5 linked regions of the Oryctolagus cuniculus genome follow. The protein of the gene in region 1 purifies or fractionates together with the protein of each later gene. This does not show direct contact. Links are inferred from orthologs where the notes say so. Each region holds a gene or a part of one and is shown on either strand. Other genes may lie near its edges. The genes, in order: FHL2, CNOT1, TNKS1BP1, EYA3 and CTNNB1.

What was found.
Region 2: the proteins of FHL2 (region 1) and CNOT1 purify together in Homo sapiens (affinity purification with mass spectrometry; 3 studies listed by BioGRID and IntAct, with this or other methods). This does not show direct contact. The link is inferred for Oryctolagus cuniculus from reciprocal best matches to the Homo sapiens genes FHL2 and CNOT1.
Region 3: the proteins of FHL2 (region 1) and TNKS1BP1 purify together in Homo sapiens (affinity purification with mass spectrometry; 3 studies listed by BioGRID and IntAct, with this or other methods). This does not show direct contact. The link is inferred for Oryctolagus cuniculus from reciprocal best matches to the Homo sapiens genes FHL2 and TNKS1BP1.
Region 4: the proteins of FHL2 (region 1) and EYA3 purify together in Homo sapiens (affinity purification with mass spectrometry; 3 studies listed by BioGRID and IntAct, with this or other methods). This does not show direct contact. The link is inferred for Oryctolagus cuniculus from reciprocal best matches to the Homo sapiens genes FHL2 and EYA3.
Region 5: the proteins of FHL2 (region 1) and CTNNB1 purify together in Homo sapiens (affinity purification with western blotting; 3 studies listed by BioGRID, with this or other methods). This does not show direct contact. The link is inferred for Oryctolagus cuniculus from reciprocal best matches to the Homo sapiens genes FHL2 and CTNNB1.

The regions. Positions count from the first base shown.
Region 1 is NC_091433.1:103,233,788-103,239,286, reverse strand, and holds part of FHL2 (four and a half LIM domains protein 2), read right to left. Parts: intron 3,327-5,499; coding exon 3,152-3,326; intron 1-3,151. UniProt on the Homo sapiens protein: May function as a molecular transmitter linking various signaling pathways to transcriptional regulation. Negatively regulates the transcriptional repressor E4F1 and may function in cell growth.
Region 2 is NC_091449.1:41,892,831-41,898,976, reverse strand, and holds the start of CNOT1 (CCR4-NOT transcription complex subunit 1), read left to right. Parts: upstream 1-2,168; 5' UTR 2,169-2,285; intron 2,286-2,669; exon of another isoform or gene 2,670-2,838; intron 2,839-6,146.
Region 3 is NC_091432.1:14,793,413-14,799,498, forward strand, and holds the start of TNKS1BP1 (182 kDa tankyrase-1-binding protein), read left to right. Parts: upstream 1-2,105; 5' UTR 2,106-2,216; intron 2,217-4,719; exon of another isoform or gene 4,720-4,856; intron 4,857-5,145; exon of another isoform or gene 5,146-5,148; 5' UTR 5,149-5,163; coding exon 5,164-5,257; intron 5,258-6,086. Other genes in the region: FACT complex subunit SSRP1, read left to right, coding at 193-379, 633-704.
Region 4 is NC_091438.1:143,664,440-143,669,868, forward strand, and holds part of EYA3 (eyes absent homolog 3), read left to right. Parts: intron 1-933; coding exon 934-1,034; intron 1,035-3,040; coding exon of another isoform or gene 3,041-3,118; exon of another isoform or gene 3,119-3,197; intron 3,198-3,626; coding exon 3,627-3,707; 3' UTR 3,708-5,429. UniProt on the Homo sapiens protein: Tyrosine phosphatase that specifically dephosphorylates 'Tyr-142' of histone H2AX (H2AXY142ph). 'Tyr-142' phosphorylation of histone H2AX plays a central role in DNA repair and acts as a mark that distinguishes between apoptotic and repair responses to genotoxic stress.
Region 5 is NC_091441.1:106,507,118-106,513,330, forward strand, and holds the start of CTNNB1 (catenin beta-1), read right to left. Parts: upstream 4,133-6,213; 5' UTR 3,876-4,132; intron 3,413-3,875; exon of another isoform or gene 3,278-3,412; intron 1-3,277. UniProt on the Homo sapiens protein: Key downstream component of the canonical Wnt signaling pathway.

The sequences.
Region 1 (5,499 bases):
TTTTTCTAGAGAGGAAGACTTTCCAAGATGGCAACTAAGAAACCCTGCCTGAGCTTCCAGCCTGGTTGTCCCGCACGAGTCAGGAGCTATGGCTCAGAGCCGTGACTTTGGCTCACCTGAGCCGCCAGCCTGCCAGGCAGCCTGGCAGCTCCCCCAGTCATGGGCCAGCCCCTCAAAATCAACTTCTCTCTGCTGCTCTGTCTTCACACGTGTGTGCGCGTGTGTGTGCATATATATGCAAGGCCTTCAACATCATGGAAATGTGTATTATTAAAAACCATGCTTGCATTTGGAAGGTTTTTTTTTTTTTTTTGCACCCAAATACACTAATCTTTTCCTTCCATCTTTTCATGAATTGCACAATGTGGCCTTGCACATCCCCTGTCTGTTCTGCCTCTCCAGGGCCCTCACACCCTGGAGACCAGCAAGGAACTCGGAGACGCAGGAAACACATCTATTTGGTACGACGTGGTTGGCGCTAAGGTTTCGTGTCTTGAACAGCCCCTGGTCTGAGATGTCAGAATTCTCTCCAAGAATCAGTGTCAGGAAAAGTCTGATACTCAGGATGATCTTCTCCCACTTTGACACAAAGGGGGATGAAGTCACTGGGGGGCCTACGACCGGGGAAGTCGGCGCCACAACCAGGGAGGGTTAGAAACTAGCATCCTAGTTAGAAACTGCCTCATCCCTCAAAGTTCAGGGCAGGAGAACTGAGGCGTGGGGGCCAGGACAGACCCTCCAGTGGGAAAAGCCAAACCAAAGCAGCTCCAGTCTCCCACGGCTCCCGCCTTCCCATCAAGGATGTAGACCAAGTTGGGGGAACAGCATTTGGGTTTACAGAGACTCACACAGAGGTGGGGGGCACAGTGCTGTGGAGGCTCTGGACCCCTCCTCTTTCCCATGGGGAGGTCAGGGCCCCAACAGCTCTGATCACTGGCTCTGGTGACAAAAACAAGGATAACCGGGCCTCCTGGCTTCGTGTCCAACACATGTGGACGGCACCAAGCTGTCTCACTGGAGTGAAGATCTCAGACAAGGTGCACCCCGTGTACCTGCCAGCAAACCCCTATGGAGGAAGCCCCACTCCCAGGTGGAGGAAAGCGTGCGTTCCCGACAGGACTTTAACCTTGCTCAGCCACTGACTGCAGTTAGGGGCAGGACACTGCCACTCTGGTTTCTTCACTGGTAAGATGAGCAGCAGGTGAACTTGAAGGTCATTTAAGCTTAAATTACGAATGCTTCCATGCATTCTTGTGAAAGGCGCTTCCAATGGGGGTGCTCCAGGCTGCACTGTGGCCAAGTGCACAAATACGGCCTCTCAGAATGGTCTCATCTGCGCAGAAGGACTCAGGCATGGCGTCTACAGATGCCAGGTCTTCAACTGCACCTCCCCACCACACACCCGCATGGTTAGGGGCCTCCGCCTGCAGCCTCCCCACCTCCCCACTCAGGAAGAACCCTAGGAGGACCTGGTCTTCCAAGTGGGGCAGTGGAGGACAGGAGGACTGGAGCGGTGCAGGGGCCAGCAGGGCTGACTCGGGAGAGGGCAGAGCGTGAGTGGAGCTAAGGAGCAAACAAGAAAAAGGGCAAGAACGTGCAAGAACGCGGACCAAGGGTGGCCAGGCTGGAGGGAGCCTGCTCCACCGTGCTGCGGGAGGCCCTGCGCCTTCTCCGCAGTGCAGGGATTGCGAACAGGGCACAGGACAGAGGAGTTAAAGAAGTTTGCTCGGAGGCTTCCTTGGCTCTAGTCAACAAGGCTAGAGGAGATTTCATTTGTTTCTCAGTGAACAGTACAGGACAGCTGTGTCTCTGCTGGGCCACAGCTCAGCCTGGTTTCCTGGGGGCTCCAGCTCTTACTCCCACTGTCCAGGGCACGCAGGCCGAGTTCCTACGGGAGTTTCCACCTTCTGAGGTCTCCACGTGGCCCCTCAGCTGTGCCCTCCCCACAGCTCCCAGCAGGGCAGTGGTTCACGCTTTTGTTAGGGCACAAGAGATCTTGGAAAAATTCATGGAAAGGACGATTATGAAAAGTTACGCATGCATGCATTTCAAAAACATTGTTGCACCCAAACAGACCTAACTTGGGCCATCTTCTACTGCTTTCCCAGACCATAGCAGAGAGCTGGATTGGAAAAGGAACAGCCGGGACACGAGCCAGCATATAGGATGCCAGTGCTGCGGGCAGAGGCTTAGCCCCTATGCCATAACACCAGGCCCAGACCTGTGTTTTAATTTCACTTTCCAAGAAGTTTTTGAAGTACCCTGTATGTCGCAATTATTTTGAAGTTGTATTAGTCGTGGCAATAAGAAACCAGGCTACCAGAGGCCTACAATTATCCCCTTGACTTTAAAAAAAATTACTTCTTGTTCAATCTATCTTCCTAAAATACTTTCCATATGCCAGCTGCTCACTGAGAACTCTTCACTGGCAAAAAAGCAAGCAATCCCTCAAATGGAGCACAGACTCCATTGCTTGGCATTTGGGTTTAAAGAGACTCACACAGAGGTCTTCCATGGGGGAGCCAGCGACTGAGTGTCAGCTTCTCCTGGGCCTTGCTTCTCTTCACACGCCAACAGGAATCCAGCGACCCGCCTTGCAAGGCGGGTACCCCCTACCGGGCGCAGGTTCCAGTCCCGGCTAACTCTGCTCCTGATCCAGTTCCTGCTAATGCGTCCGGGAAAGCTGGAGATGGCCCAAGCAGGTGGACCTCTGCCACTCACGCAGGAGACTTTGGTGGAGCTCTGAGCTCCTGGCTTTGGCCAGGCCCAGCCTTGGCTGTCTCGGTCAATTCGGGGAGTGAAGCAGGGGATGGAGGAGCTCTCTCTTTTCCGTCTCTCCCTCTCCCTATATAACTCTGCCTTTCACATCAACAAGAGAAGAAATGAATATTCAACCTACCGAAGCTACGAACTGAAAACCCCCAGCGTCTGGTTCTTGTTCCGCATCTCATTATCACGTTCATGGATCTTATGCATTTGAAAAATCAGTGTGGTGCTCTGAGCACTTCTCTGAGTTCAAGGGGAAGTCAAACCCGAGTGTGTGCAACAAGTGGACGCCAACGGCGGGTCACAGCAAGGCCTGGGGCTGGACCGGCTCAGCACCGCGGCCCCCCCCGCCCCCACCGCGCGCGAGACGGCCGCGTGTCCTGACCTGGCATGATGGTCCTCTTGCATTCCTGGCACTTGGACGAGTACTCGTTGGAATAGCAGTCCGTGCAGAGCAGCTGCTCCTCCTTGGCTGCGAAGGGCTTATCCACCAGCGAGCTCCTGCACTGCGAGCAGTGGAAGCAGGCCTCGTGCCAGTGCCGGTCCTTGTAGGACAAGTCCTGCGGAGCCAGACACACGAGACGGTCAGTGCCGAGGGCAGCATGGGAGTGCGCATGCGCGCAAACGCGCAGTCAGGCCACCGCAGGGGAGTGCGCATGTGCGCACATGCGTACTCAAGACACCCACAAGGCAAAGCAACAAGGGGAAGCGAGGCTGGGATGACCGATGCCGGGCTGCTGGGCTCCTGCTGTGTGTGTAAGGACCATGGGTCAAAGGGAGGTGATTTTGAAAACGAGCTTTTCCTTAGGTCCTGCCTGTAAGAAAGAAACGCGGAAGCCGAGCACGGGCCTTGGGTGCTTCGTGCTCCACACGCAGCAGGGAGAGCTAGATCTTCGATGGAGGCAGCTCAGTGGAGACAGAGAAGCCCACGTGTGGGGCACGCTCCGAGAGGAGCCCCAAGCACAGGGCCCAGGCGAGCCGGCGAGGGGGCTCTGGGGAGGCGTCTTAGGCAGGTGCCGCCAGCAGATGCGGAGGACTTGGGGGCGGCAGGGCGGGGCCTGGGGCAGAGCCGGAGCGGCAGTGCAAGGCAGATGCTAAGGGGTAGTGGGGTGGGGGCAGTGAGGGTTCCTGTTGGGCCCGGCTGCGGGCAGCGAGTAGGCAGGCCAGGTGTATCAGTCATGGCTGAAACCGGAATGCGCCCGGGAGAGAAAACCGTGCAACAGCATGACACCCTTGCCCTCGCCCGAGATCTCTTCTTTATCTGCCTGTTTAAAAAGGACATTTTGAAAGTGCCAACCCAAACCAAAATAGCAGCCTCGTTGTAGGCAGCGTGGCTTCCAGAAGAGGATACTTCTAGTGCTGTCTGTGTATTCCCAGCTGTGACCCGGGCCCACGCTCTGTTTCTAACGAGGCACAGACAGCGTGTGGGGGACGCTGCAGGTTTCTGGGCCAGGTTCCAGATCACAGGGACCCTGAGTGCCACGTGGGAGGTGCACGCAGATGGCGGCCCACCGATCTGCCTCTGTGGCTGCAACCCACGCCCCGAGTGTAGGATGCACTCCATCAGGAAGTCCCAAGACACCAGCTAACGTCGGAACCTGAAGGAGAACAAGCAGTTCTCTCTCGCTGAAATACCGCGCTGTATGTGTGTGCGTGCATGCATGTGCACGCACCTGCTTTCCCAGAGCCCAAAACGACCCCAAGTTATTTGATTCGATGACCTCGCTCTCTCTGCACGTTTTAGTCCAAGGAATTATTAAAAACGTGAGTGATGGAATACTCCGAAAATAGTCACCTCCACCACCTCGCGGTAACGGCTTTGTGCTGAGCCCCGTCCTCTCTCCTGCCATCTCTGGAACATCTGGGGTCAGAACCAGAGCTAAGGCAAGAAGATGAGGCAGACGCAGGAAGGAGCGAGGAGCACAAGGCATTTCTTCCAGTGGGACCACGCAGCCTTGTTTCTGTGAGACCAGCACTCTACACATCAGTGGGGTGTCCGAGATGGAAGCTGCCTCACCACAGGGCCTGTTAGGGTGGTTTGTTGCAATGCTGGGGCCCTCGCTAGCCTTTGTGGACCCAAACTCAGGGGTCTGTACACCAGGGCAAAGGGGGAAGGTGCATAGAACCAGTCTCATTTTGCATTTTAAAAGTGTTTTTCAGAAATATGGGGAGAGGTGCCGGCATAGTGGCACAGCAGGTTAAGCCACCACCTGCAATGCCAGCAATCCACATGGGCTCTGGTTTGAGTCCCGGCTTCTCCACTTCTGATCCAGCTCCCCGCTAATGTGTTTGGGAAAAGCAGCAGATGATGGCACTAGTACTTGGGCCCCTGCACCCATATGCGAGACCTGGAAGAAGCTCCTGGCTCCTGGCTTAGGACTGGCCCACCCTGGGCCATTGCAGCCATCTGGGGACACATGGACCATCTTCTGCTGCCTCCTCGGGTGTATCAGCAGAGATCTGCAGCCAAAGCACAGCATCTGGGACTCAGAACTGGCACTCTGATATGGGGTGCTGGCGATGGCACCCCAAGTGGCAGCTTAACCCACTGCGCTACAACTGGCTCCATGAACTTATTTTAGATAGCAAAGCCCATCATTTGCACACTGTCGACCCCTACCATTCAGGAATGGGGTGGCCTCCACACTCACCATGAAAACATCCCAACTTTGCAGAGACACCTGTGATGGTCATTATTACCACGTTGTGAGTTACAGGCACTACGAAGCTGTA
Region 2 (6,146 bases), on another chromosome or scaffold:
CAGTGAGAGAGAAAGACAGAGAGAAAGGTCTTCCTTTGCCATTGGTTCACCCTCCAATGGTTGCCGTGGCTGGCACGCTGCTGCCAGTGCACAGCGCTGATCCAAAGCCAGGAGCAAGGTGCCTCTCCTGGTCTCCCATGGGGTGCAGGGCCCAAGCACTTGGGCCATCCTCCACTGCACTCCTGGGCCACAGCAGAGAGCTGGCCTGGAAGAGGGGCAACCGGGACAGAATCCGGCACCCCAACCGGGACTAGAACCCGGTGTGCCGGTGCCACAGGCGGAGGATTAGCCTAGTGAGCTGCGGTGCCGGCCTATTTCATACTTTTTCAGCACATGCCTACCTTGTGCCAGGTACTGAGGACTAGGTGCAAGGAATAGTTATGTACAACTGGAATGATCCTTGTCCATGCTGCATGTGGGATTCCTGGATCTCATATAGCTGCTTGAAGGCATAAGGCATACAGTACCTGTTTACTGAAAGACTTGGCCTCCAACCAAGGAAAAGCAGGTGTCGCATAATATTTTTATGTGAAGTGAAATCAGACCACCAGAAAAACACAAATACTGTACAATTCAACTTATATGAGATATTAAAGTAATGAAACCCTTAAAAACAGAAAGGAAAATGGTGTTTGCTAGGGGTGGGAAGAGTTGTAACTGGGGAGTCCTTTTGCAAAATGGAATGTTCTAGTTAGGAAGGCCTTTGGCACAGCAGTTAGGATGCTGTTTGGGTTGCCCACATCCCATGTTGGCATGCCTGGTTTCAAGTCCCAGGTTCACTTCTCCTCCCAGTTTATGATTTCTGCTTCCTGCTAATACACACCCTGGGAGGGATCAGTGATAGGTCAAGTAATTGATTTCTTGCTACTTATGCAAGAGAACTGGATTGAGTTCCCAGCTTCTGACATCTGCCTGCAGAGTGAACCAGTAGATGGAATATCTCTCTGTGTCTCTTATAAATGAATACATTAGGGGCCAGTGCTGTGGTGTAGCCGGTAAAGCCCCTGCCTACAGCGCCAGAATCCCATATGGGTGCTGGTTTGAGTCCTGGCTGCTCCACTTCCCATCCAGCTCTCTGCTATGGGCTGGGAAAGCAGTAGAAGATGGTCCAAGTCCTAGGGCCCCTGCACCCACGTGGGAGACCTGGAGGAAGCTCCTGGCTCCTGGCTTCAGATCGGTGCAGCTCCAGCTGTTGCAGCCATCCGGGGGAGTGAACCAGTGGATGAAAGACTTCTCTCTGCCTCTCCTCTCTCTGTGTAACTCTGACTTTCAAATAAATAAATAAGTCTTTTAAAAGATAAACACATTATAAAAAGAAAAGTTCTAGAGTCTGTAATACAACCTATGAATATGGGAAACACTATAGTATGCTGCAGATTTAAAAATGGTTAAGATAAGGGCTGGCGCTGTGGCATAGTGGGTAAAGCCACTGCCTGCCATGTAAGCATCCCATATGGGTGCTGGTTCAATTTCCGGTCCAGCTCCACTTCTGATACAGCTCTCTGCTATGGCCTGGGAAAGCAGTAGAAGATGGCCCAATTCCTGGGGCCCCTGCACCCACATGGGAGACCGGGCCTGGCTCCTGGTTCCTGGCTCCAGGTTGGCCTAGTTCCGGCCATTTGGGGAGTGAACCAGCAGTTGGAAGACTCTCTCTCTTTCTGCCTCTGCCTTTCTGTAACTCTGCCATTCAAATAAATAAATAAAAATCTTTTTTTTTTTTTTAAAACCACAGGCTTTAAAAACGGTTAAGATAGTAAGTTTATGTACTTTTGCCACAAGTTTTACGAAGTGTGTTTAGGCACAAAAGGTAGTATGAGACAGGAAATATCGTTTCCACAGCGCTTCCAGGGCTTCAGCCAGAAAGACAACTTGAGTTCCTTATCTCTTTCCAAAGGAGTCACTTCTCCCATAGGTAGACTAGAAGTGAAAGTTCCCTTAAGGAAAGCCAAGCAAGATAAGGCTGGGGGGGAGCGTGGGAGACTACATTCCCCTGCATGCACTGCTCTTCCTACAGCGCCGCAGGTGACGGGAGGCAACGCATACTTTTGCGACCGCAAAGGCGTGAGGCGCGGGACTACAACTCCCAGGATTCAAAGCGTCCCAACCTGGCTCGCTTTCTGCCTGCTGGCGTTCCCCTCCAAAAGGACCCGAGGGGAGGGGAATGTTTCCACTGGGCATCCCCACAGTGTGCTGGACCGTGACATTTCGAAAGAGGAAGGAAAGTGAAGAAGGAAAGTTGAGGAAGGCCGTCGCACTCCGATTCGAACTAGTTCCCGCGCAGGGTGGTGAGGAGTTATGCTTCCCCCTGATTTTTTGTTTCTCGGAGGCAATCGCTGGCCCCCATTGGTTGAAGACTTCGAGGGCAGGTGGGAAGTCCGGGAAGCCCCGAATCGAAGTTATCAGCCTCTCCCCATTGGCCCTCGCCTGGAGCGCAGGCGCGAGGGCTCCGACTCGGGTCCCTCGGGGCTGGTGAGCGGCAATTGGCCAAAGACCGCGAAGTAAGGGTCTTGATTGGTAGTTGCTAGCAGGAGCCTGGTTTCTTCCTTGACTTCTGCAAGTGATAGTTTGTGATTGGTTTGAATCCGCGGGTCCCTGACGGTGATTGGTCGGGAACGGCGAGCGGGCTGAGGTCATTGGCTGATGCGGGGGCCCTCCCTCCTCGGGCGGGCAGCGAATGATGAAATGGGAACGGGGAGGGGAAAGGCCGCGACGTGAGCGCGCGACCTCCGGCGCCATTTTGTAGAGAAACAAGCGGAGTTAACCGAAGAGGGGGTCGAGGAGAGCCGGAGTCGGGGACCCAGGAGTTTCCTGTGTCCAGCGCCACCGGAACCGCCTGAGGTGAGGCGGGCTGGGGTCAGAGGCTGGAGTAGGCTGGCGGTGTCAGCCTGGGAGCGCGAGTGCCGGGGTGGGGAGAAGGGAACGGGGGTGGACCTGGGGCTACAGGGAGCGTTTCCCGGAGCTCCGGGGAGTAAGAGGCAGCCGGGACAGGGAAGTGGGGCGAGGCGGGAGAGGACGGACTCTTTCCCCACGGCCCGCGGAGGCTCCGGGCGCCGAGGAGAAGGCGTTGGCGCGAAGGCTTTTGGAAGCGCACAGGTTCGGTGCGGGGTGAGACCCGGGGTGGCCCCCGGCCGGGGCCTGGCGGCGCAGTGGGTGGCAGCTGGGGCCCCTGGGCCTGGCTTCGCGCGGGCTGCACCCTCCTCAAACTCCGCGAGCTCCTCAACTGCTCCTTTTCTGTTCGGGCTCCCGGCAGGGTGCAGCGAGCTTCGGTCCCCGAGGCCTAGCTCCTCGGGCCAGGCAGCCGGATTCCGAGTTGTTAGGGCTCCCGGGTGGCTCCAGGGCGCCGGGGCTGCCGCGCTGCCCCCTCCTCCGCCCCCAGCACGTTGTCAAACCCCCCGTGTTTCGGGTGTCTGCCGGTGGGAGGGGCGGGCGGGAGCGAGCACTTCCTCATTCTCGCCACAGGTTTTTGTTCCACTCGCGCGCCGCGGCGCTTACGGTTGCTGCGGGGCCGGCCGCCCACCCGCTCGGGCCGGTGTCTGCCTCAGCGGCGGTTCTGCTCGCCCGGGCGGGGGTCGCCCTGGTGAGCCGAGCGCTTGGAGGCCTCGCGGCTGCCGAGAGACGAGCTGCCCGGGTTCTGGGTGTTACTTGAGGCCAAACCCAAACACCCCTTCCCCGTATCACTCTCGTCTGCAGAACCGCCGGGAGTGCACTGTGTAGTAGGTTAGCGAAGAAAGTGCTTGTTGGCTGTGAGCTTTGGAAAGCGTTGCGTTTAAAGTGTATGAGAAGTAAACTTCTCGCCTCAAGTCACCCGACCCCACGTCACATTTCTTGGGACTGCAGTAAAAAAGTCTTTTCCTTGAAAACTGAGTACTTAATTTTGCTGTTGCTCTATTCTATTGCCTGTGGCTACTTGTGGATTTTTTTTTAAGTGAATGATAAAAATGCTGTCAACAATTTTGAGTATTTCCCTCATGACAGCTCTTTGGAAAGGAATAGAGAGCTACATGGATTAAAAAAACAAAACGGGAATGGGTGAGTAAAACACCAGGAAGTAGGTCAAACAGAGGCAGACCAAATTTATTTTTTGCAGCGGTACACTGGGATTTACTTATGATCTGTGTTCCTGGTTGGCATTCTTACCCTTCCAAAGGTTGGCAGCACAGTATTTTAGTTATTACTGGGGTATATGGTAACAGTTTAAATAATTGTGTTTTAGGACACTGGAAATTGTTACCTTGTCTAAGGAGAAAATGGGGATGATGATACATAAAAGCTGGCTGTGCCGCATGTGGATAGAACTGGACCCTTCAACAAGTGTGTGTCCCGAGTCCTTTAGCTAGAGTCAAGGCAACCAGACCTGACCACTGGTAACTGAAACGACTTTCATACCAAAGTTTTAGTGCAGGGTTTTGTGGCGTTATGGTTAAACAGAACTGAAATGCTCTCCTTGCTTCCTTCCTCACTTGATGGGAACCTTGGCTTAGTTTTCTTTTTAAAATCTCTTTTGAATATTTAGTGGGGCTTAAGCCTGGTCTCTGGCATGGTTCTTGTCGAAGCAGAGTACTGTGATATCCCCCTTATATTAGGTTAAAACATTAAAAAACTGAGGACAGAAAAGGAAATGCCAGCTCTTTAAGAATATGGTTTAGGCCCGCGCCGCGGCTCACTAGGCTAATCCTCCGCCTAGCGGCGCCGGCACACCGGGTTCTAGTCCCGGTCGGTGCGCCGGATTCTGTCCCGGTTGCCCCTCTTCCAGGCCAGCTCTCTTGCTGTGGCCAGGGAGTGCAGTGGAGGATGGCCCAGGTGCTTGGGCCCTGCACCCCATGGGACACCAGTATAAGTACCTGGCTCCCGGCTTCGGATCAGCGCGGTGCGCCGGTCGCAGCGCGCTGGCCGCGGCGGCCATTGGAGGGTGAACCAACGGCAAAGGAAGATCTTTCTGTCTCTCTCTCTCTCTCACTGTCCACTCTGCCTGTCAAAAAAAAAAAAAAATATATGGTTTAGAGCCTAATCTCAAATTATCCTTGCATGTACTTTATTTTATTTTTTAATTTTTGGACAGGCAGAGTGGACAGTGAGAGAGACAGAGAGAAAGGTCTTCCTTTTCTGTTGGTTCACCTCCCAATGGCCGCTGCGGCCGGCGTGCTGCGGCCAGAGCACCGTGCTTATCCGAAGCTGGGAGCCAGGTACTTATCCTGGTCTCCCATGGGGTGCAGGGCCCAAGGACCTGGGCCATCCTCCACTGCACTCCCTGGCCACAGCAGAGAGCTGGCTTGGAAGGGGGGCAACCGGGACAGAATCCGGCGCCCCAACCAGGACTAGAACCTGGTGTGCTGGTGCCGCAAGGCGGAGGATTAGCCTAGTGAGCCGTGGCGCCGGCCTGTACTTTTTCTAAGTATGTTTTTTATTAGATTCTGATCTAGTTATGACAAGCGCTTTTTTTTTTTTTTTTTTAAGGTTTATATATTTGGAAGGCAGGGTGACAGAGAGATTGAGGATCTCCCATTTACTGGTTCCCTCTCCAAATGGCCTTAATGTCTGGAGGTGGACCATTTTGAAGTCAGGAACCCCAAATTCCATCTGGGTCTCCAACTTAGGTGGCAGGGCCCCAAGCACTTGGGCCGTCATCCTCTGGCTTTCCCAAGTACATTAGGCAGTTGGGTCGGAAGTGGGGACTGTTGCTCCAGTAAGGGGTGCTGGCATTGCAAGCAGCAACTTAACCCACTGCATCACGGCAGTAACCCCAAAGATTGCATTTTAACAAGCCTAATTTCATTTATTTCATTCTGTGTGGTAATGCAAATCTTTGGTACTTAATGCCGCAAAAGGAAGTTTGTCCGTAATACTTCTAATTGAATACTCTCAAATTTTAAGATTAATTTTTTGGGAAATGCTTGTTATGCTTATATTAACAAAAATATTGGCCAGTGAATTTATTTTTAAAGATATATTTATCATGGGGTGGTGCAGTAGGTTAATCCTCCGCCTGCGGAGCAGCCGGAACTCGAACCAGAGACCACATGGGATGTCAGCACCTCAGGCAGCAGCTTTACATGCTATTTCACAGTGCCAGGCCCCCTACAGTAGGTTTTTTTTTTTTTTTTTTTTTTTTTTTTTTTTTTTTAAGATTTACTTGTTTGTTTGCAAGT
Region 3 (6,086 bases), on another chromosome or scaffold:
TCTTCTGGTGTATTCACTCAGGGAATGCCCTGGGGGCACCCTGGGCAGCATGGGGCAGCTGTTCACCTTGAGAGTGAACGGGGCAGTGTGGCTGGGACTGGGCACGACCTGATGTAAGCTGGGAGAGGTCTGGCCTCACCCATGACAGGGGGATCCTGCAGGCGCAGCTCCCTTTTACCTCTCCCGATGCAGAGACAAGTCCAAGAAGAAGAAGAAAGTGAAGGCAAAGATGGAAAAGAAATCCACACCCTCCAGGGGCTCGTCGTCCAAGACGTCATCCCGGCCGCTGAGCGAGAGCTTCAAAAGCAAGGAGTTTGTGTCGAGTGACGAGAGCTCTTCAGGCGAGAACAAGAGCAAAAAGAAGAGGCGGCGGAGCGAGGTGCAGCGAGACAGCGGGCGCAGTTGGGCGGGGAAGGGTTTGGGGCGTGAGTCTCGGGTGCGGGGTGTTCCCGGCTCAGGGGTTGTGGTGGGTCTGTGAGAGGGAGGAACTGGCAGTGAATGGGAGGGGTTCTGAGGCTGGTGAAGGTGGGTGCTAGCGCTGCCTGGCATGGGGACCAGAGGCCCCGCACTGAAGTGTGGCCAGGTGTCTGGTGTGCTGTGCCTTTCCCCTAAGAGGCCTCTCTGGCTTTCAGGACTCAGAGGAAGAGGAGCCAGCCAGTACCCCGCCCAGCTCAGAGGACTCGGCGTCAGGATCCGATGAGTAAAGAGGAGGAAGAGAATCCGCTTGCCCCGTCACAGCCCCAGGCTCCCCACCGGGTTTTGGGCCCAGTTTCTGCTCACATGACGCGTGGTCCTCAGAGTCTGTGCCCCCGGGACACGCTCTCCCGGTGGTGCGCACTTCCCTGGGATGGGGAGTTGTCTCGCTTCTGCCGCTTCACGGGATGGCGCCTTACAATCTGGGGAGAGATTGGGTGGGAGGCGGGGCACAGGACCCAGATCCCTGTCCTGCGTTCCCCACCTTCGGGATACAGCCACCGCTATTTCTCCTTCAAGTTGCCGCAGCAGGAGTCGTGTGAAATCAGGCCTGAAACTCCTCGGTGGGGCCTATTTCTACCTTCATTTTGTATTTCTGGTCTGTGAAAATCAACATTTAATAAAGGGAACTGACTTTGGAACACGTGTCCTCCTCGTGCCTTCTTTCTAGCCCTCTTGCGCTGCTCCCGCTCGGCCCACTGTTCCTGGGCAGGGCGCTCCCGGGCAGCCGGGAAGCAGGTCTCCCAGGTCCGGCTGCACCAGCATTGGTTTTCACCCCCTCTGCCGGGATGGGCCACCTGAGAGTCTAGAAATGGGAGCTGATCTGATTAGTAAGCCTCCCTCACAGCTCCACTCCATCAGCCAGGCCAAGGGGGAGGCGGCCCTCTGCTCCTTGCTTAAATCACCTTATGAGTCAAGGGGTCTTGGAAAGCTTGGGCTAACACAATCAGGATTGACTGTCCTCCCGGGCGGGCGGGGGAGTGGAAACCGGAGCTGGCGGAGCAGAACGAGGGCGTGTGTGTGTGTGTGTGTGTGTGTCTGTGTAGGGCTGCAGGAAAGGTGTGCAGGGTGTTTGTGTGTGAAGCTTTTGTTCTGAGGTGCGGGAGGAGACAGAACCACACGTTAGGGTTGGAAGGAACTTAGGGCTGAGACAGATAATGGGAGTGACCCAGGGAAGCAGAGCCGCCCAGCTGAGTGGACACACGTCCAGCAGCCACGTCGCGAACGGCCTCAGGACTCAGGTGGCTGGGAACAGGAAGCCAACCCAGTCCGCCAACGCTACCCTCTTGCCCGACGTGGCTCTATGGTGCTGCAGTCCCTAAGAGCGGCCCGGCCCGAGGAGGGGGCAGTGCCAAGGCTGCCTCCTCTCTAGGCGATCGTCTCGGTGGCCATTTTACCCAAGCGCTCCCAGCCGCTGAATTGCGTCAGTTTCGCCCGAATCTGAGCCCCGGGGCGGGCCCCTCATTTGCAAGATCATGAATAATTGAGTAGCGGGCCGCGTCTGTTTGCATACGGCGGGACGGGCTCGGCCTGGGCTTCCCACTCGCGGGTTCCACCGGCTCATGAATATTCACAAGGCGAGCTGGGGGCGTGGTCGTGGGCGGAGCTGGGGGCGGGGCCCCCGCCGGGGCTCGCACTGGCTCGGTCCCGCGGTGACGGCGGCAGCGGCGGCGGCGGCGGCAGTGGCGGCGGGGACTGGCGTCGGGGCGCCGGCTGAGCGGAGCCGGATCCCGGGAGAGCGCGTGAGTGCGCGGGGCCCGGCGGGCGGGAGGGCCAAGGAGGAGGCGGGGTCCGCGGTGGGGCGGGGAAGGGGCATGGGAGGAGTGGGCGCGTTCCAACCAGGACCTCGGGTTGCGGTGGTGGTGGTGGTGGGTGTGGGGGGGGATCGTGACTAGGAAAGTTTGCAGGGGCTGGGGGCGCTGGGGCGGGGGGGAGGGGGCGCTGGCGCGTGTGCGCGGGCGTGGGGGGCGCAGGTCTGGAGCTCGTGCTGGCGGAGCCAGAAGAAAGGGGGGAGGGGGCGAGGGCTTGGGGCGGGGCTGGGGGCGGGCGGAGCGGCTGGAGGGACCCCCGCCTCCCCGTCCCCCGGGCCCGCGCCGTCCCCTCCTCCGGCTCCCTCGGCACGCCCCCAGCCACCCCAGTCCGCCCCCACGTAGCCGGGCCACCGTCTGCTCGCCTGCTGCTTCTCGTCCCGCGCGCAGGTCCACCGCTGCTGCCGGCGTCGCCCCCTCCTCCTCCACCCTCCTCCTCCACCCTCCTCCTCCTCCTCCTCCTCCTCCTCCTCCTCCTCCTCGGCGGCCGCCGTCCGCTCTGTGTCCGGAGCTCCCCACCGGGCCCCTCCAGACAGCCCCTTGCCCCGGGCTGTTCTGTCTTCCCGCTGGCCCTCCCTCTTCCTGCAGTTTGCACGCTGTCCCTGCCGACCTCTCTGGCCCCGGACCCGCCTGGAGGAGGTTCTAGGGTCCACAGGGACGCCCCGGCCTGCGCCCCCCTACGCGAGCCCGGAGCCGCCTGGCCCCTTCCCAGCCTTGCTGGCGATCGCCTGTCTCCCGCGAACTCCTGCGGGCTGGAAGTGCTGCGAGCTGCTGCCGCATCTGGCCACCGCCTTGGTCACTGGGGCTCCTGGCCGGGGCCTCTGAGTTGCTGCGGCCACCTCCCTAATGGGGTGGGGGGGTGGGGCTCTGAGCCCACCTTCATGGCCACAGCCTCTCATCCTGCCGAGGGGCTCATCAGGGACCCCAGGTGAAAGCGCTTTTCGGTTCTGGGCCGGTTCCTCTGCGTTTCCACCCACTCACACCCTGTCCCTTTTAATGACGTTCAAGGACAAGGAAGCAGTCTTGTGTTTTTTAATTTATTTTTTCTATCATGTGCTCACCCCCTCCCCGTGCGCGCACTGCACACTTGGCTTGGCGCTGCAGTTACTCGCCCACAGTGGGCAGGCCTCCGTGCTGGTTGCCTGACCAACGGGTTGAGTATCTCTGCTGTCTTTGCACTCTCTTGTGTCTTTGCAACCAGCTGGGGCCGCGGCAGAGTCGGGGGTGGGAGGGTGAAGGGGACAGGTTTGCAAAGGTTAGGCACCTGTTTTTGGGGAATTGGTGCTGTTTTTCTGGACTACCTGGAGCAGGTAAGGAAGGTGGTGCCAGGTGCATGTTGGAGAGCCTTGTGTGGCCCTCGCCCGCTCTGTACCTGGCAGGTGATAGGTGACATCCCCCTTTCTTTGGAACCAGAGTGGCAGGCTGGAGAGCCTGGTGTGGGGTGGGGGGTGTCTTGTGGGTGGGAGGGTGCCTCCGGAGCCGGGATGGGAACTGAGGAGGTGTGTGCAACCCAGGTGACAGGACTGGGGCCTGGAGAGTGAAAGAATGGCCTTGGAATGCAGGCAGCCTGGCCTTGGGGGGAGAGGAGGAGGTGGTTGCCAGGGATGTTAGCTCATTGGTGGCCCTGAACGGAATCCCAGGAATACTGGCCAGCGTTTATTGGACACTAATGTGCTGAGCATTGTGTGAAGCAGCTTCCAGGCATCATCTCCCCGAAGCCTCCGGATAGCCTCTGTAACCCCACTTCTCAGACCAGGAAGTTGAGGTCTGGAGAAGTTGCCCAGCTAAGGAAGTGGCAGACCCACCTGACCCACCCAGATTGGAGTCCTGAGATATCGCACGTGGAGGCTCACCTGTGTGGCTTTACCATGGGGCCGCGTCACTTGATTGGCCTGCTGATGCCCCCCTCAGAACCCCTTCAGGCCGGTCCTAGCCTATGGGGACTGCCCACCTACCCCCTTCCCACAGGCTCTGGCTGTCCCACCCTGACAGTCCTGGAAGGGGAAACCCCAGGGAGTTTTCCCCCAGCACCCCCCCCCCCCCCCCCCCCCGGATGTTCTCAAGCCCTGTCCCGTTCTCCCAGCCCAGGCCTGGGCCGGCTCCTCCTTCCTCTTGGCGAGGCTCTGGAAATCCAGTGGGAGGCCATTGCTATGGCAACAGGACTAGGCCCTGGCTTTACCTCATCAAATTCCAAGCTGAAGCCAAAGCGATTGAGAAATTAAAGAAAAAAAAATGTGTTCCAGATGTTTACTTTTTTTATTCCTTATTTTTCCGTGTTTGGATGAGACAGCTCCAAGGAGGGGTGGGGGGAGAGCCGGGCAGGGATGTGGAAGGAGAATGGGGAGAGAGGGGGGAGAGGGAACCACTCCCAGCTGCTGGAGGGAGGGAGGCAGGGAGAGCGGGAAGGGGGAGGCATGCCGAGGGGCGGAGCCCCAGGTTGGGGAGGAGCGGGTTTTTCCCGTCTCCCTGGAGGTGATTCACGGAGAGGCTTCAGACTGCACTCTTCTTGCTCTGTCTGCAGTAGATTCCTTACAAGGGGCTCCTGGCCCAAGCAGGGGGGCCTCCCTGGGAGCTGTAAGTGGGGGTGTCTCGGGGAGCTGGTAGTCCCTAAAGCTCCAGGACTTTGGGGTTAGGAGAGCAGAGCTGGAGAGGATGTGGGAAGAGTTGAGGACACGCCTGCTGGGGACCTGGCCTGACCTCCCCAGCCCCCTCCTGAAGTTCCCTCTTCCTGTCCCACACTCCGCCTCTGTGGAAGTAGGAGACCCCTGGGCTAAGCCCGCTGCCCACACCCAGCTCTCTCCCGCTGTCTCTTCCCGAGCCTCCAGCCAGCGCCGCTCACGCGCTCTGCTTCCTATTTCTCAAGCAGGATCTGCCGCATGTGATGAAAGTGTCTACTCTCAGGGAAAGCACAGCCATGGCTTCCCCACCGCCCCGGGAGCCGGAGGAGGAGCTGCTGCCCGCTGGCTCCGAGCCAGGTACCCATGGGTGCAGGGTGGAGCCGGTGGCTGAGAGCAGGGTGGGAAGGGCGCAGGCTGCACCCCCATTCCATCCTGGGGGGTAGCTGAGTTGAAGTGTGTTGAGGTAGCTGCGAGGCAGGGCCGCAGTACTAGGAAGTGCGGGATAGGGTGGGAAGGCCCTCGGCCCGGCTCTAGCACCTCTAAGGGCAGACAGGACCCATGGGGGTGATGTGGGTCCAGCTGTGTGTTTTGCAGGTGGGGGCAGGGGCTGCGGCCGGGAGAGGGGACCCCTGAGACCCAGAGGGAGGCCTGGAGTGCACCCACCCAGGCTCCTGCCTCCATGTCTCTAGACTCTTAGCCAGCTGAGCGGGTGATCGAGGGTTCCACTAGAAGGGCTGTGACCCGGAGTGATTGCGATGCTGTTTATCTGGCATTGGAATGCCTTATATAGAAGGAAGATTTCTGGTCTTGGTTTTGAGTTTTTTTCCCCCGCTGTAGCAGATTTACTTTTGTTTGGCTTAGGTCAATAGTAAGTTTGCATTCCTTGGTCACACACCGGATGACAGTGGGGAGGTGGCCTGGGTGTGTGCTGGAGGCGGGGGTAGCTGGAAGGCAGGATGAAGAAACAGAGTTGGGGTGAGTTTACTGTGGGGGATGCAGCGGGGAGAGGGCTCCATGGGAAGACAGTGGGCGACTGGTGTGGCGGGAGATATTTGTTTATTGGCTCATTCATTCATGTGTTTGATTAGAGCATGTGCTGGGTACAAAGTAGGGTGCAAGGGGAAGTGAGGTGCCAGCAGGGCCCTTACATAGCTTTAGTTTAAAAGGGGAACTGGTGAAATAACTT
Region 4 (5,429 bases), on another chromosome or scaffold:
TTCTTTTGGGCAGTGGGCCTGCTGAGTCTCTGTTCACTACCTTTGCTCCCAACCAAGCAAACTACGTGGGCTGCCACGTGGTCTGTCCGAGTACAGGCGGGTGAACCTGACTGTTGCAGCCTTTGTCTTTTAAGTTTTTTGTTTTAATTTTTAGTTAGCTTTTAGCAGATTCAATGTACATGTAGATATAATGCTAAGAACATAATGATAGTCCCTTCCTCCTTCTCTCCTTCTCACTTTCTTTCTGCATTTCTTTTTTTGTTTTGTTTTGAGATAACATTTTTAAATTACATTATAGTAAAGACTTAATACTTGATAAATTTAACAAGTGAAAAGCAAAGAGACCCTAGTTTAATGAGAATATAGACAACAAACAATAATTGAATGGAGAAATGGCCATTTCGCCCGTATACACTAAATTTTAAAGTAAACACGGATCATTAAAACTGTAGTAATATGGGCTGGCGCCGCGGCTCAATAAGCTAATCCTCCACCTAGCGGCGCCGGCACACTGGGTTCTAGTCCTGGTCAGGGCGCCGGATTCTTTCCCAGTTGCCCCTCTTCCAGGCCAGCTCTCTGCTGTGGCCAGGGAGTGCAGTGGAGGATGGCCCAGGTGCTTGGGCCCTGCACCCCATGGGAGACCAGGAGAAGCACCTGGCTCCTGCCATCGGATCAGCGTGGTGTGCCGGCCGCAGCGCGCCAGCCATGGCAGCCATTAGAGGGTGAACCAACGGCAAAAAGGAAGACCTTTCTCTCTGTCTCTCTCTCTCACTATCCACTCTGCCTGTCAAAAATAAATAAATAAATTAAATTAAATAAAAAAACTGTAGTAATATAACATTTTTGACCACTGGTTTGACAGTTTGCAGCCTTTTTCTTTTGTATGGAAAAAAGGGAAGAATATTCTCATAGGAAATTTCTTTTTCTCATCAGGTAAGGAGAGCTGCTTTGAGAGAATTGTGTCAAGGTTTGGAAAGAAAGTCACGTATGTGGTGATTGGGGATGGACGCGATGAAGAAATTGCAGCCAAGCAGGTAACCGGCAAAGCGGATAAGCCAGAGGTTGGGCATTGAGCAGTCAGAAAAGAGGTTCAGACTTCAGAATCCGGATATGCTGCTGTGCAGCTACAGTGCTGTGCTGTAAAGAGGAGAGTGGTTCTCTCCCCAGATGAAATTCTCTGTATAAGCTGACAGACCACCTCATCCCTGCCAGTCAAAAATCTTAAAATCTTTGAAGCCTGTTGCAAGGAGCCTCATCATTAAACCTGTTTTCACTGTAGATGGCAGTGCCTTTCTCAAGAATATCAGCCTTGACCACAAAAAGCACAACTCATTCTGACTTTTCTAGGCTCAGATTCTAAGAAGAAAGAAAGAAAAAATATATATACAGTACGGTTGGGACTGAATTGCTATAAAGAATGTCCTTTCCAATTTTGAGCCCTGAACAGTGGTTCTGATATTAACGCCATAGCTATACATGTCCTGACACCAGGTCATCCCTTCTCACTACAGGGAACAGTAGGTGAAAGAGTTTTGGCTGTAGAATCTACAAAGGCAGGTTCGGTTCCCATGTGTTTATAAGCTGTGCAACTTTGTACAGTTCACTTGTTTTCTCTGAGTTTCCTCATTTACTAAATGGATCTACAGAAGTTCTTTCCTTCCCTACCTCAGTTTATTTTCTTCCAGCAGCTCTGTTTCTTAGATTTGTATTCAGTGGGTTACCAACTAGAACCACCTGCCTTGAGTTTCTTCCCCCAGGTAACATAGAAACCTTAGCAACTGGGGACGGTGTTGTGGGGTAGCAGGCGAAGCAGCATCCCATGTGAGCACAGGTTCTTATCCTGGCTGCTCCACTTCCGATCCAGCTCCCTGCTAATGTGCCTGGGGAAGCAGCGGAAGATGACCCAAGTGCTTGGATCCCTGCCACCTATATGGGAGACCTGGTTAAGTTCCAGGCTCCTGGCTTCAGCCTGGCCCAGCCCTGGCCATAGGGGCCATTTAGGGAGTGAACCAGTGGGTGGAAGATCCCATTGTCACTCCCTCTCCACTGTAACTGCATCTCAAGAAAATAAATAAATTTTAAAAAGAAAAAAGGGCTGGCGCTGTGGCGTAGAGGGTAAAGCCACTGCCTGTGGCACCAGCATCCCATATGGGTGCCAACTCAAGTCCCTGCTGCTTCACTTCTGATCCAGCTCCCTGTTAATGTTTCTGGGAAAGCAGTGAAAAATGGCCCAAGTACTTGGGCCCCTGCACCTGTGTGGGAGACTCGGAGGAAGCTCCTGGCTCCTGGCTTTGGACCATTGTGGCCATTTGGGGAGTGAACCAGCAGATGGAAAACTTCTCTCTGTAACTCTGCCTTTAAATTAGATAAGTAAATCTTAAAAAAAAAAAAAGAAGAAGAAGAAGAAGAAACAAACTAATGATGAATCATGTGATTTGTGATCAGTTGGTGTTAGCACCTCGTGATGGTTTCATTTGTCACTGTATGTAGCAGTTCAAAGACATTTGCTTTTTTCACATATCTCGTCACAGAAGCTTTCATTACAGAGTTTCTTGTTGCTCTCTTTGGGAAAGACCCAAGTGTCAGCTTAGTGCTTCCCTGTCTGAAGAAGGGAGTGGGGAAGAGAAAGAACCATTTGAGTCATTAGCAAAGTTGGTGTAGTTACCGTGCTGCTTGTAATCACCTACTGAAGACTAACCCCCTGGCAGACGCTGTAATGCTTTGTCTGATCCGACTTCCACCATGGGAGGGATCTTTTCTGAAGACTTGCTGGTCCTTCTTTGAATAAACCCAGGTGTGCCCAGGTAGCCTATTCCACTGTGGAGTCCAGCCTTCCACTGAATAAAACGTTATCTCTAAGTAAGTCTAGCACACCTGAGCATAACAAAACAAGTTTGCTTCCTCTTCTGTATATTAATGGCCTTTTAAATATCTAGTGTGAGCGATAGGTGCTTGATGTAACTGTTAAGTCACCTCTTGGGATGCCCACATCACACATCAGAATGCCTGGTTTGAGTCCTGGCTCTGCTTCCCATTCCAGTTTCCTGCTAATGTGCACCATGGGAGGCAGCAAGTCATCACTTGTGTCCCAGCAGCCCACATGGGAGACCTAAATTGAGTTCCAGGCTTCTGGCACCAGCCTGACCCAACCCTAAGTGTTTTGGGCGTTTGGGGAATAAAGCAGAAGATGGAAGATCTCTCTATGTCTCTTTCTTTCTGTCCTTCAAATAAACATTTTTTTAAGTTGGTGGAGAATGAGATTAAAAGATAAGTTTACTTTGGTGTGGATAATCTTGAAATCCATGCATAGTTTTTTCATGATACACATTTTTCATGAGCTTTGTGTAGCTAGAATAGTGTACATATATTAATATAATAATATAATAGTATATCTAGAATAGTAGCTAGAATAGATATATCTCTTACAGTAAAAGCAGAGTTTACCACTGAACCCATTTCACACGTGTGAAGTGTCCTATAACATGCAAAGTTACTCTGATCCTTATGACTGCTCCGAGGTGGGGAAGGTTACCAAGTACCCTGGGAAGAGGTCTGTGGAGGGTTGGGTACGGGTGGATAAAAACCGCGAAAGCAGCTGGGCTGACCGTTCACCTTCCGTTCTCCAGCACAACATGCCTTTCTGGAGGATCACGAACCACGGAGACCTGGTGTCCCTGCACCAGGCCCTGGAGCTGGATTTTCTCTAAGAACTGGAATGAGGAGCCTTTCTGGTGAGCTCCTTTCCACTCCTGAGGGCAGCCAGAGACTGGAACCAGCTGGGGACTCTCTGTCTTTGCTCCATGGAATGCTGGCGAGAACACAATCAGAACAACAGCTGCAGATTTGGCCGAGAGTCAGCCCCAGCCCGTGTTCATCCTCATGCAGAAGCGGAGACAGCTGGATAGAGAGAACAATAGGCTCGTTGCAGCTACTGTGCTTTTAATTCTTCTCTTTTGTTTTGTTTCAAAAAAAAAAAAAAAAAAGAATGGAAATTCCTGGAGCAGAGGTGCGCTCTTAGTGGTGGTCAGACTGAGAACTGCTGTGACCCTGTGGTGAGAGGATAACGCAGCAGACTTCTGGGACATCTCTTGCAGTCTTTAGAATCTCCTTAGCCGTAGAACTTACTTCCAGTGAATGTGTATGTTATTTTTATAGGTGAGGGTCTCTGAAGCAGGTGTCCCCCTTTCTTTTTCTAGCAAGAAAGGGTCATTTAAAGTTTCCTTGAAAATAGTCATTGAAATGTCTAAATACCTCTGTGTGACGGTAGCCCCCCCGTAGCTGCTCCCAGGGGTCTGCTTCTCTCCCGTTCTTCCATTTCTTACTTGGCCGAACTGTGGGGTGCTGGACACTGATGAACTTTGGACTTGGCATTTCCCATCCTTTTAAAAGTCTTAGTCCTTTTTCCAGTCCTTCTTCCCCTTTAATCAAGTGACACAAACCAAGAAACTGCTTCTTTCAGACGGTAAATTCTAAGCCTTCAGCTTGACTCTTAATTCAGAGACTACATGCCAGCAGGCTAATCCTCCCACCTGGAGAAAAAGGATTGAGGCTTCTTAGGAACTTCAGCCTCTTTGGCTCTCAAGACAGGAAGACGCCATCCGATCCTCCAGCACAGAAGCAGCTTTTCCCGTCCACTGCCGACCTTGCGGCCCCCTCTGCTTGTCCATCAGCTGCTGGGCCTAAGCCTTCGCTGCTGTCTCCATTCAGCTCTGACCAGTCCACACACATTGGTCCCAAGAAGTCAAATCAAGTCTAAGAATAGGCTGGATAAGAATTGGCCCAAACTTCCAAAGTATTGGGCTTCCTGTGAAGAAGCCCATAAGTTGCCTGTGGGGTATCTGGGTTCACATTCCCCCCAAGCCTCTGCCTGAAACTGACAGCAGACTGCTCTTACCTTCCCCAGCAATACCCGCTTCTGGTGTTCACTCTGCAGTAGGAATCCAGAAGGCCAGTCTTTCCTGGTTTAAATGAGGATGCGGGCTCCCCTACTTCACACCTGAAGACTTAATCCTGGACCAAATGCAGGAGCATCTCTCAGCCTGACCCCTGGGAAATTGGTGGATACCTCAGCACTGGGGCCAACCTTCCAGCCTGGATGGATTTCTTGGATGTGCCATCCCTCCAGGACCAACCTGGGTACCTGCTCAGCCAGGCCAAATTCCCAGGAGCTGACAAAATTCAGACTGTCCCAGGCAGCACCAAGAAGGGTGACAGTCCCTCAGAAAGATCAGTCTTGGTCCTCAGGAGGGGGCACCTTTGACCAACCCCAGCCGTGCTTGCTTATCCCCAGAGAGTCCGTGTGCCATTCCTGAGAAGTTGCAGCACAGAAAGGTAGGACGCCTGCCAATGCCAGGGCACCCAGACAGCAGCACACCAAGGCTGGTGCACACATTCCTTCAGAACTGTCTGACAAGTGCTTCGTGTCTCAC
Region 5 (6,213 bases), on another chromosome or scaffold:
CATTTTTTTTAAAGCCAGCCTTTTAATTAGTATTGATATGAATAAATTATTCTTGATTTTGAAAGGTTCTTGATTTCTCAGCAAAACTATTCATAAATATATACCAACACAAACTTGCTGGAATTAACATAAAAAATAAATCACAAGAATAATGCTATATCCACTGGAGGGCACTCAATATGACCAAAGCATGAAAACACACTCATTTTGCTGCTTCAGGTTTGAAGGAGACTTAGGGAATGAGGGATGTCTCCTAAGAGACATGCCCACAATTAACAAGCTCAAAAAAGTGTTTAAGCCCTAAAAATGGGTCCTTAATTCAACTGACTGTTCTCTTTTAAAAGCTTCTTTTTCCTTAAGGAGGAAAGAGATTATGTGCATACTTCAAGAACAGCAGGATTCAGTCCTCAACAGAGGAAACTAGGTTTCAGAGTGAGTCAATTCAGTCCTACCTGAAACATTAAAGAGACTTTAAGTAAACAGGAAATAAAGAACTTTCTCCTGAGGTTAAGTAGTGAAAAACTACAGGGGTTAATTCCAACTTTTCCAAACCACGAAAAGTAACATTTTCCTTTTTGCAAAACTTGTCAAGTATGTATTTTAACCTGTTAGCCTAGTTATCCATCACACAAATGAACAAAACAGTACACCAACAACAGTCTGTTAAAACAAGGGTAACTAAGGCCCCCACCATCTGCAGTGCCTGCATCCCATATGCCCGCTGCTTTGAGCCACTTCCGATCCAGCTCTCTGCTATGGCCTGGGAAAGCAGAAGACGGCCCAAGACCTTGGTGGCCCCTGCACCCACGGGGGAGACCTGGAAGAAACTCTTGGCCCCTGGCTTCTGATGGGCCCAGCTCCGGCCTTTGTGGCCATCTGGGGAGTGAACCAGCGGATCGAAGACGGATCTCTCTGCCTCCGTCTCTCTGTACCTTTGCCTTTCAAAATAAAATACATCTAAAAAAAAAAAAAAAAAAAGTGGGAGGACTTGATTCTGCCAAGATATCTTCTCCATGAAGCTGCAACAGGCAATAGCTACATGCTTTGAATAAATCAGAAAAAGATTCTGGTCTATGTTTACTATTTACTTTCCTGGTATAAAAACGTTTTCAGTCAAGCTGTTTCAACAATAGATACCATAGTTCCAATAAATAGAGGCCTACAAGAAAACAACCAAGTTAATACAAGCAATGTTTTCAAAAACAATCACAAACCAGCATGTACCACTACAATACCCCCCATTGGTTACAATACCCCCCCCCCTTTAACATCAGAAGTCTATCCAGATATAAAAGCTTTCATCCTTCTTGCCCTGGCTTAGCAGTCAAGCATGTCTCTGACCCCATTCAGAGTATAAACTTTTTACCACCTACTCATCTACAATTATTATCACCAACTAGTAGACTATGACAGGGAAACAAAATCACCTTATAACAAATGTATTGTTTCATTTGAACAGACTTAAACAGCCAGTTCTAATTTCACTACCTTTAACCATAAATGAATGATAATCAAACTCTCTATACCCCTAGTTTTAACAGTAACAACATGCTCCTTCTCTCTGCCTCTCCTAACTGGAACAAAAATGCTACCTGCAGTTTTTCTATGTACCATATTTTCAATCACCCTTAGAAAAATTTCCTCCTCTCGATCTTTTTCCATTTTGGCAGTGGGGTTACAAAAACAAGCATACAGGCCTTCATTTGTGACAATTTCAATGCCAGCCATTACTAGGTCAATTCAGTTTGATAAATTTTAATAATGGAATATATTTTTATACTTAATCTTGAAAGACATCAGATGCCAATGGGTTTTTTAAAAAAGTTTTGACACTTGAACACTACTAAATGCTTTATTTTTTTTTTCCTAGCCTTTTTTTTAAGTTGGTTTTTCCTAAAAGCTGTTTTAAATGATTGCTTTGGTCTATGGGAGGCTCTCAGGCCTAGGACGCCACAGGACTCTAAGCTACAGGCAATACTAAGCTTTCTAGGGCAGTTTTTCAATTCCTTCTCAAGGACTTCAGACTGAATGGTCTCCGCATTCCCTTAATCCTGGAGAACAGACTTCTGCAAGTTTTTCAAGTTACTGTTGTGATCACTTCAGGGCCTTGTCTTTGTGCTTGGCCTTCAGAACAAAGATTAGGTCAAAGTAATGAATACTGGGTGCAAATTAATCACATTTTGTCTTGTGTGAAAGGACAACCTCCAATAAACCATAAGGGAATTTTCTTCTTCTACCTGAGATTTTTGAGAATTTAAAAGTAAAATGAAAGTAGCTTTAATCCAAACAAAACACCTCCAAAATAGTCAGTGATTCCAACAAACAGTAAACAGCAGCATAATGTAGGTAACACTCCGGGCTCGATGTAATATTTACTAGAATGAAGACAAGTTAACAGGAAGCCAACGAAGGGTACTGACGGTTCACCAAGTGGCAAGTAAATAATGGAATGGCTTTCTAAATTCCAGACAAAATACTTTACAACTTAGCGATCTGAAAAACATCGGCCTAGACGTCATCAAAGGAAACGCAGCCGTCTCTTCAAGTTGCTGTCTAGTCTGAGCCACCATTATTCACGATACAAAGCTCTCAGTTCACTAAAACCACTCCTCGATTTCCTTTCGCCGACCTCTGCATACCAGCAGCCCAGTCTCCCTTCATTCACCGCGCACAAACTCGGGGGGAGGGGAGACCACAGATGTCTGGAAGACACAAAGTAGGAGACAATGCCCCCTCCAGCAAGGAAACGACTACACCCCGCGCCCCAGCTCGGCAGATCCAGAAGCCGGCGACGGGAACCGAACTTCCTTGAGAGTCGGGTTCAAAGTCCTCTCCCCGCACAAAACACCGAAAAGAAGTTACAATGCTTGGATTCTCGTCTGTCCCATTTCGTGGGGGAGGAAAAAAAAATTCGCTCCGCTGAAAAGAAAACGTGCTCTAAAAAGGGGAGAGGGGAATCAACTTCAGCTGCCACACAACTATTGGAATAAATTATTCCCACGATCGAGAAGTCTCCAGGCAGCCGGAGGCTGGAGCCTGCGGGCCGCTCGGGGACCAAGAGCCGGTCCCCGTCGTCCCCTCCCCTACGGTCCTGGGGTCTCAAGCCCCACGGCCACAAACCCAGAGCGCTCCACGCCGCCCCCACTCGCCTGCACGCACGAGAAAACCTCGGTGCACGACGCACACTTCACAGGTGCACACCCTACTGACGCATCGCGCCGGCTGCACGAAGAGTTTAGTTACTCTGAGGCTTAAAGTTGTTTCGATTCGAACTCACATAGGCAGGGTTGTTAACAATATATCCTTAGTCGTCTGTTAGACGCAGAGAGGAAACCCGCCAACTCCACCGGCTCCCATTCCCCGCCGCAGAACAGCACCTGGGGGTGGCGTCCCGGCCTCCGGCGTCCCGAACCCCCAAACTCGCCGCCGGGCTGCGAAGGCGGAGCCCCCCGGCCGCACCCCGCCCCCCACCCCGGCGCATCCCGAGGCGCAGGGTCCCTCCCCCAAACTCGGCCGCCGCCGGAGCCCGGGACGGAAACCGCCGCCTCCCACCCCCACCCCGCCGCCGGTCATCCGGGCTCCTGGACGCGCCCCCGCGGCGCCCCCTCCCCGCCCGCGGCGCCCCCCGGGGCCCCCCGAGGGGCAGCGCGGCCGGAACCTGGGCCCGGCCGCCGCCCTCCGCGCCCTGGACGCCGCCCGCCCCCGCCGTCGCCGGCCCGCGTCCCCGGCTCCCCACCCCGGCCCTCCGGGCTGCGCCGGGCCCGGCTGCCCGCCCGCCCGCCCGCCGCCGGGACCGCGCGCCCGGGACGAAGTTTGGCTCCGAAGAGGGAGCGGGAGCAGCCCAGGAAGGGTAAGGGAAGGGAGCGTCCAAGCACCTCAGGGGAACAGGCTCCACCCGCCGCGGGCGTCCGACCGTCCTCGGCCTGCGGTGGCGGCTCGGCGGGGACCGCAGCTGCTCCTCGCACCTTCCTCCGTCTCCGCCTCCCCCTCGCTCTCAGCTCCCGGGGCCGGGCTAACGCGGCTGCCACAGACCGAGAGGCTTAAAATGGCGCCGCACAAGGAGCTCTTATAAGTCGCGCTGGCCCGCTGTATCCTGCCGCCGCCGGCGCAGCGCGGAGCGTTCCGCCGCGCGAGGACGAGGGGCGGGGCGCGGGCGGCCGCCGAAAGTAGTCCCCGCGCCGCCCGCCGCCGCCGCCGCCGCCGTCCGACCGCCCCGGGGCGGGGCGGGGTGGCCCGCGCGCGCGCCCGCCCGCCTGCGCGTGCCCGCGCGCCCCTCGGACGCTCCCAGCGTGGCCCGCCGGCGGCTCCCTGGCCGCCAGAGACAGCAGGGGAGCGGAGGGGGCGCCGTGGTCCGCAGCCGGGCGGCCGGCCCACCCCCACTCTGGCCGATGTGGGAGGAGGGCAGCTCCGTCCCGAGCTGGACGCGCGCTTCCTGTCCCCCCGCGGGGGAAGGGGCCATCGCGCGCCCCGGGCCTCAGGAGCCGCGTGGGGCCGCGTGGGACGGGTCTCGAGAGGGCTGAAGTCGGGGGCCCCGCCGCGGGTCGGGGCGCTCACTCCCCCGGAGGTCCCTGCGGTCCGGAGGGTGGGCGCGGCGTCCCCCACCGGACTCCGGGCCGAGCCGTCCCGTCCCCACTCGGTGGCCGCACTGGGTGAAGTGGGCGCCGAAGCCCCGCGTGGTTCAACAAGTCGTCCCGAGTCCCCCCACTGCGAACAGATGACGAGTGGAGGAGGACTGGCTCCCGCGCGCTATCGGTTAGGTCTTTGCTATTTAGTAGCTGACCTTCGTCTGGTCCCACTCGGAGCAGCAGCGGAGCCACTGGTGGGGCTTTTCCTTTGGGAAGAACTGCGTTTCCACCCTCCTGCTGCTCCAGACATCCACGGAGGTTGTTTCTAGGAGGAGCTGTGGAGGAGGCAGCCTGGACCATGTTTTTAAAAACTAATTTGTTCTTCTTCAGCAGCGTCCCCTGGTTCTCAACTTCAAGGAAGTTGGGAGTGCACCCGCCTTGCCCCCGTCTCCATTGTCATCCTGCAAGAGTGGCATCTGTCAAAGCCGGTCCACTCTCTCTCCTCCATTGTTTTATGCTTATTTTTCCTCCAAAAACAATGGAGAAAGTACAGAAGGCAACAGTGAAAGTTACCTCGGGGGCTTTTCTCCTAGGACTGTAATTAATGCCTATGCAAACAATAGGTCTTTATACAGAAGTACAGGCAGGAAACCTTTTTCATCACCTCATGGAGATAGCATGCTTTGGAGCCAACCTGCTCTCTAAATGACACTTATTTTTCGGTCCTAAAGATGTTTTACTGTATACAGCGGTACCGCTGTCTCTCGCCACAGCTCGCGGGAGCCCCTGCAGTGGAAAAAGTCCACCCGCTAAGATGATGCTTGGTGAGGTCCATTGTCTCCAATGGTTTTCTCATCTGTATCTTTGCAGCAATTGTATAGAATCAAGTGTGCGTGTTGGTCGCAGTTAATTTCCCTGGTCGCAACTCAAAACAGATCGAACGGAAAAAGGTATTTCATCAAAGTACTGTTTCTAAGACAAAGTCAGAGGTATAAATGGCGTGTACAGGTATCCACACCCCCCCCCCCCGTTTTAATTGTCATGTACAGAGTCAAGGAATATTTCAGTTGATTTGATTCAAATTATACATTTAAAATCAGATGACTGATTCTCCACAATTAGTATTTTTTAAAAATAGAGCTTTGCATCTTCTGTGTTCAGTGTGTTTTTGCTAATAAGGCACACTGTTGAAACCTGTTAAGACATATCTGCACCAGTAGAAAATCTAAAGAGTAAGAACACTTTCTATCTGTATTTCTCTGTTCAGGTGCCAAAATAATCTAAGAATTTTTTCTGTAAGTTTAGAATCAAGTTTTTTTTTAGCCCTAGTGATACTTAAATACACAGGTTATTCAAAGAAATGTAAGATTTGCAACAATGCAGCATGCTGTTTTCTCCATCACATGTAAGTATACTTAAGAATTACTGGCATTAAAACAGATTATTTGGATTTAACAAATTGCTCAGAATTTTTATTTGCTTCTCATAAAACAACAGTTGTCTCGTCAAAAATACGAAATAACGTCTATGAAATCAAGACAAATACTATTATCAAACCAAAGGGAAAGAGCATGAAAATACCTAATGACTTGGTGAAATAAGTAATTCTGTGAAAATAATTACAAGAACTTGACTTTGAGCAATACAT